Arabidopsis thaliana: one gene and its partner. The protein of the gene in region 2 interacts with the protein of the main gene of each other region in a pairwise test. Each region holds a gene or a part of one and is shown on either strand. Other genes may lie near its edges.

Region 1 (3,756 bases), on a different chromosome or scaffold from region 2:
GTCACACTCTCCATACAAGTCTTTATAAAATAACAAGAATGTTCGAGAGAAGTATATGTAATAAGCACATACCTCCATTATATGTCTTCCGTTGAGGGCTTCCATAGCTGCGACCGCTTGTTCTTTAGACTCGTACTTTAGAAACAGACAGCCTAAAATAATCCAAATGAACCAAATAATTAAAGTCAGTCAGAACTCTGGTATAGAGTGCTTGCTATAGATGCATAAGCAAGTGGAGATACATACCTTTGCTAGTTTGTAGAGACCCTCTTAGAATCTGTAGATCCTTAATGGTTCCGTATTCAGAGAATAAGGACTGGACTTCAGTTTCAGAGACATTCTTTGGAAGCATACCGACGAAAAGTTTGTGCTCTGGATTGCACGAACAGTCAAGAACATCTATCAAATTGATTGGTATCAAAAATTAAAAAATGCGACCAAACTCTGGAAAGAAAGAAAAAAAGAACTCTTTTGGTGCTTAGACTTCATCACTCAGAAGCATTTTGCGTACCTAGTCTTTCCAACTCGCCATCTGCATACTTAACTTGCAACGGACTAGATGCCTGAAACATATCATAAGAAAGTGAATTCTATAATTCGAGAGAGGGATAAGAGTGTACATAGCCCATAAGCATCCTAATGTTCAGATACCGGCCACAGAAAAATCGAAAGAAGCAAGGATATATATATACACCAAATTTTTGTTAAAGATCGCTCAACAAAAAGTCAACACAATGAAGCAAAAGTTTTCTCTTGGTATTTGGGTTCCTATAATCTCATTCCTAGAGATGTTCTAGCTTTTTGCATCTTGCACGTTTTAGTGACCACTGACATACATCTATAGTGGACCAATGTGGTTTCTTGGGTTTGAAGAAATCAGCTAGAGAGGATTTGAAACGAACTAGTATCATCAGATTACAATAACTGATAGGGCAGATTCTGATCAGCCAAATCAGATTCATGATTTCACCTCGATGGATATATGATATATATAACCAAGCAACAACATGCAAAATTAACAGGGACAATAATCAAGTACAATGCAGATCGAGACGGATAAAAAGAAGAAAAATCAATCTGAGATTTTAATCAGTAGCTTGAAAAAATGTCACCTTAAGTAGTTTTGATGTACACAGAAACATCAGATTCAAATATCAGAAAATCCCAGAAAATTAAGCAAAACAGCTTCAAGAATGGTAACAAGAAAGAAGACTTACCCCAGGCAATGTCTTCTTGTTATGAAAACTATTGATCACCTTGTCAGCATCTTCCCTTGTAGGACATGTCAGAAAACAACATCCTACAATTCCACAAGAAATTAGGGTTTTCACAATTCAAAAATAAAATAAAAGCAACGAAGAAATCACGCGCAATAAAAAAGAACAAAAAAAAAAAAAAACAGGGGAACTTCCAAATTAAAGAAAGAAAAAAACAGAGTTCAAATTAAACGAATGAAACGGAGAAAATTAGGGTTTTCAGAATCCAAAATCAGACGAATCGAAAAACCATCTACAAGTATCCTCGAAACAGAGAAAAACTTCTAAGAAAAAAAACAAAAAGATATCAAAAGTAACGTTCTTTGGGAGAAAACAGAGGAATTTTTTTATTAAAAAAAAACCTCGAGGAGCTCGTGTTGTCTTCTCTTTAATGATGTTGACTTCATTGACGATGGAGAATTCTCGAAACAATGTGAGGAGCTGAATCTCCGTCATGTGCTTCGGAACTTGTCCGACGAACAGCTTCACCCTCTCTTCGTTCTCCATCGTCTCCTCCGCCATTATTTCTTTCTCTCGACTTCGTCGTCTTCTTCTTCTTCTTCTTCTTCTTCTCTCTCTACAGGCTTTTTCTTCCTGAATATTTATTTATTTACTTTCTTTTTTTTGGAAAAAATAATAATAATAAGAAAAAAAAATGAGAGAACTACTAACTAATGGGTGACAAAGTGGTTAAATTAAAATACGGACTAAATCTGGGCTCGTCGTTATTACTAAATTTACGATATTGCCATTAAAACAGCTGTTCAATTAAACAAGAAGGCGAGCCTGTGGGATGCCAGGGGAACACTTTCGGATTGTTTTGTCTGATTATGGATGTGTTGTCATGCCGAATTTACCATTTTATCCGCGTTTTTGTTTTAATATGGAGTGTGTGAATAAGCTGACTATTTTTTTTGTTATGTTTAAATTAAATAGCTGTCATTTCTTCAGTCTTCTGCATTAAAACTCAAAATGTTAGTTTATGTTTAGTTTTTTTTTGGATTTTTATTGTCGTTTGGTTTAAAGAAAAGTGAGTATTTTGTTTATGTTGGATATCGTTTGTTAAAGTTAGTCTACCTTTATTCTAATATTTTTTTTTATCAATTCCTCCTTATAATGGATATGATCATCTGACGTTAAAGTAGTGATAGATATATGTCCTAATATTTTTATCACTAAAATTTTTATATATTTAATTCTTTATTAATAATAAAAAGTGTAGGTTTGTTTAAAGGTCCAAATCAAACATACACAGTTACAAACACAAAAAGAAAAACCTTTTTTTTCTTTTGAGCAGTTGAAATTTGAGTATTTGACAATACACATGGACACGGCTATAAATTTCCATATTAATTATTTTATATAATATATATATTTTAGCTTTAGACAATAATATATTACACCATTGAAAAGAGGGTTTGGACATTTCAATCTAGCCAAACCAACTCCAAATGCAAACTGTCATTTTTAACTTAAATTGAATATAAACATTTTTATCGTTTTCGCACCATACAACTAAATTAAAATCAATCCAATCCTATTTGTAACAAGTGATGAAGTGAATAATAATATGTGTTATATTAATGTAACATATTATTTATTTTTGGAACGGAGAATCCAATGACCAATTCTAGATTTGTAAAAAAAAAAATTAAAAGTAAGTAAATCGAGAAATAGTTATAGAAATAAATACGACTATACTAGTTGACCGTAGAATTTATATCCATACACGAGAGGTCATTTTCATTTTTCAGTGACAACGAGTAGAGGACACTGAAATAAGGGTAGAGTGTCGTAAATATAAGGAAATACTAGTGGCAAAAACATAAATATGACAGACTGTCCTTGCCATTCGGAAATAAATAACCACATCAGCTCCGATTCTTACATCAAATTTCACAAAGAAGGCCGCTGACTTTATTTAGTTTACGTTTTGACCCCACTTGTTTTCTGGTTTTTGTGCATGTTTGTGTGAATTAGTCATTGATAAACGATAATAGTGTAGTAGTAATTAAGAAGAAAAAACCACTCGGCCGCTTAATTTAGCATGAAAACGTATTAAAAGAATCTCCACTGTTACTCTGTGAGTAAATGATAATATTTCTATTGCATTTCATGAAAGAAGTCAATGAAAAAGTTTGACATATCAATCAAGTATTCATTAGTCTACTAAAATATGTATACGTTGTTAGATTAATCTATATCCAATCTGTAGATAGTAGATAACGTGCTTATGTAAAAACAAAGTTAGATTCTACATCTCACCAGTCTCTGGCATTTCAAATTTGCAGATCTTTGGGAAATTTACTTATCCTCATAGTGAGACCCAAAAGTCTTCAGACTTATGATCATATAAAAGAATATCATTCGACAAAACCACAATCATATAGAAGAACATTATGAAAATCTAAAATAATGGTCAAACCTTTTAAACAACAACTTCTTATCACCATTTATTACACACATAAAGTAAAAGAAAACAAACTTACAGATATTAAAG
Region 2 (3,756 bases):
AAACTGCATGTTTATCATTCTCATGCTCAGCCCACACCATCTGCAAAAGTTGGAGTTCAAGAAAACAAAACAAAACATAACTCTATCAAAAGCTGAAGACAAAAAGAAAAACATATGGAAACAAGAGCAATGCTCTATCTTTCTGGTAAGATAACCCCGAAAAGTGAAAACAATAGAAATCAAAGGGACAAACATAAAAAAAATGTTAAAACTCAAACTTAAGTCTAAAACCATGAGTGCAACAGCATGAACAGATGCTATAGTTTACAGTCCGTTTAAAGACGTTAGCACCAAAACCAGATGAGTGGAGAGATGGTGGACGTTCAGTTTATAAAACCCAGTGCAACACTAAAACAAAAAAAGCCAAGAGACAAAAAGAATGTAACAATATTCGTCCCCACCATCACCAACCTATAGAGAAACTAACTTCGATAAAACAAATGGCACTTGAGAAAACTGTAAAACCAGGGACAGTAAAGAAAAGAAAACAAAACATAAACCAACAAAAGGAAAAATAATGGAGAAAACAAAAAAAACAAAAGTATGGTGGGTCACATTGCATCTACTTGAAATAGAGTCGAAGCAAGATTCATGAATAATGAATTACGGCAACCGATGACAATGCTAACCTACCTCTAGAACATAATTTAGGTATTTAATTCCTGTAGCAGTTCCTCCTAGGAATATACATATTTAGGCATTTAAGCCAACTATTTGACTAGAGAGGCATAATAATGTCAGATAAAATTCCGGTACTACCACAAAAGCCTTAATCCATTTATCTACACATGACGGAGCTACAATGAATTTATGCTTATCCAAAGACATTCAAACCACAATATTAGCACAAACATTGCTACAAAACACCAAAGGTTTCAGTGAACGTACCATGAATAGTTTGAGTAGCCATGAAAGGAGGAGCCACCAGCATCCGAATCTTTACCCGTCCCTCTTTTTCCACCAGCATCCGAATCAGGATAAGTACTAGGCAGACTCTGACCTCTAAAGTAAGAACCTAGAGCTGAAAGACCAGCAGCACCAACGCTTGGATCAACACCAATCCCACCCATTTGACTAGACTGTACCATATCAGAACCCAACCCGCCATGTGCTAGAGCACCCGCTAACATCGGATACATGTAACCTCCCCCAGCTGCTGCTGCTGCTGCTAAAGCTGGATTTCCCAACATCCCAGCTCCATAAAGCGGATGGTATTGGTTCCCTAACATAAACGGCGAAGCAGCCATTCCACCACCGTTAAACACATGTTGACCTTGTACCTGCTGTTGCTGAGGCTGTCCATGATTAGCCATCGAACCCATACTAATCTTCACCGGACCAGGTTGATCATGCCCCTTTCCTGAAGCCGCAGGACCCATAGAAGCAAGCTGGCAAGTGGCAGTTCTATTAAGAATCCTCTTCTTCGGTTCTTTAAGAGCTTCTTTAGCTCCTTTCCTAGTCTTGAACATAACAAATCCAAACCCTTTAGCCTTACCAGTAGCCTTATCTATAACAACGGTACACTCTTCAATCTCACCATAACCTTCAAAGACTCCAACAAGAGTCTCGCGAGTCGTCTCCCATGGAAGACCATAAACGAAGATTTTCCTGTGTGTAACATCACGATCTGCGGCTTCTACGACGGCGGAATAGATCGAAGATCCGATTCGAGAAGCGGAACAAACTAGATCGACAAGCTGGTCCTTGGAATAAGGTTGTAGAAGCTCACGGAGCTCTTCTGGGTCGAATTCGTTGTCTGATTCGGAATCGCTAGAATCAGAGCTGGAGCTTGAACTTGAATATGGCGTTGAGGATTCTGGTTGTTGTTGTTGTTTGTTAATCTTCTGTTTCTTATCGAAATTCGTGGATTTGGATTTCACGAGTTTGCGCTTCTTAGATTTGTCTAGGGTTTTCGCCATTGTAGTAGAGGATAAACGAGTCAAGAAGCTTTTAGGGATTTTGATTTTTGATTTTTGATTTCAGTTTCCTGTTTCCCCTCGGGTCAAGAGTTCGATTTACTTTATCCTCGAGATGTCGTTTTTCCGATTTTTTCAGTTTAATTTTTTTTTTATTCGAGTATTTTGCTTTGAATATATTTTCAAATATTTAGATTATTTTTGGATTGGTTTATTTTGAATATTTTTATTATTTTACATATTTTTAAATATTTGCTTTATATTTAAGATAAGGCCTTAGATCTTTGTAGAGGTTACATGGCAAGATGCTGGCTTTAAGTTATGATGGCTATACATCAACCGGAATACCATAAGCTCCCTAACTTTACGGGGTGTGAACTTTGTGGTACTTTTCTTTTAGAGCGCCGTCAGAAAAGATTCCTGGCTAGGCAGAGGTTTTAGCCATATTGGTGGTGTCGCTCTGCTACTTGTTTATTCATTCACCAGTTGAAACTTTTTTTTCTTTCTTTTTTATCTTTATGTGTTATGAGAAACTAAAAAAATAGTCACCGAGATCTTAGAGAGGGTTTTGTTTTTGTTCTTAAGATTTTCAGAGTTTCCCCATTGGAAAGAAAAACAAAGCCCTCATAAGATCATGATCACAAAACAACGAAATCAAATGACCAAAACCAAACCAAAGTTGATTTAGCTGAAGCATACTATAGATTAATACGAGTTGATTCATATGGATGGATGGATAGCTGCAGAGAAGACCAAAAACCGAGAAACAAGATTGATCCTCTTAAGAAATCGAAAAACTGAAAACAAGATTGATCCTCTTAAGAAAACAAGCATTCGCATCATCGGTCACTGTGAGGTCATTGTGAAAATCCAAAGAAAAAAAAAAAAAAAACAAGTATGCTTTGCTACCATAACCAGAGTTATATAGAATATGAATAACGAGCAGGTAAAAAAAAGGTAAATCCAGAACAAAGCTATGTAAGGTGAAAAACAAATTGGGTCCAAGTACCGATGACCAAAAACAATCTTGAACTTAGGCAAGAAAACTTGGCAACTGATATCAAAATGGACTCTTAAATACAAAAGAGAAAGGGGCGACACTACCATAAAAGAGGAATGTGATGAAAGAGATTGAGAAGCTTATAAAAACCTATGGGGAAGAAAACAATGCTTGAAGGAAAGAAAACTCAGGTTGTTTATTCCAGAGAAAATCAACTTGAAGCTTTTGAAAGAGTCCCAAAACTTTTTCCAGTACTCAAAAAGACAGATTTAAAACAAGAATGTAAAACCATTATGTCTGATCCTACAAACGGGTCTCAAGACAACTGCAGCTGGAAGATACAGACTTTTGGCAGTTATGACATATAGTGGACAAAACTATAAATGTCATAAGCTTCTTCTCCAGCTATAGCGAACAGATATTCAATGAAAATGCGGGAAAACATAAAACCAAAAACAAGGAAAAACAAAAGAGAAAAACATACGCCATGCCACAGAAGAAAACCAGACGTGAGTTTGATGGGTAAGGAGAAGACAGAAGACCATAATGGGGGACTCCAAAAGGGAAAACAAAGAGATAGCAAACTACTTTAAACCAATATTGATCCTAGTAACTAAATCTTCTAGACAAAATGACCACATTTCACTGGTTTATGAGAACAGAGCAGAACACCAATGACAGACTTCCAGAGAGCAACAGAAAATTCATCCTTTGAGCACACATCTCCCTCAAAATGGCTCATATAGGGGTAGATACCTCGTTAAAAGAGACTATAAATAATGAAACTAAAAAAGTAGGTTTGAAACATCAGGCATAGAAAATAAAGATCCGCAAAAAAAA

The links.
Region 1: the proteins of UBA1A (region 2) and AT1G03457 interact in binary tests that used the Arabidopsis thaliana proteins (3 or more experiments, as listed by UniProt).

What each region holds. Positions count from the first base shown.
Region 1 is NC_003070.9:862,242-865,997, forward strand, and holds the start of AT1G03457 (RNA-binding (RRM/RBD/RNP motifs) family protein), read right to left. Parts: upstream 2,132-3,756; 5' UTR 1,779-2,131; coding exon 1,619-1,778; intron 1,372-1,618; exon of another isoform or gene 1,301-1,371; coding exon 1,218-1,300; intron 564-1,217; coding exon 512-563; intron 400-511; coding exon 247-399; intron 153-246; coding exon 73-152; intron 1-72. UniProt on the Arabidopsis thaliana protein: RNA-binding protein involved in the regulation of flowering time. Acts as a repressor of the activity of SOC1, a transcriptional activator of flowering time.
Region 2 is NC_003071.7:9,388,532-9,392,287, forward strand, and holds UBA1A (RNA-binding (RRM/RBD/RNP motifs) family protein), read right to left. Parts: upstream 1,976-3,756; 5' UTR 1,920-1,975; coding exon 876-1,919; 3' UTR 519-875; downstream 1-518. Other genes in the region: AT2G22088 (uncharacterized protein), read left to right, coding at 1-9, 271-518. UniProt on the Arabidopsis thaliana protein: Acts as a component of a complex regulating the turnover of mRNAs in the nucleus. Binds with high affinity to RNA molecules that contain U-rich sequences in 3'-UTRs. May function in complex with UBP1 and contribute to the stabilization of mRNAs in the nucleus.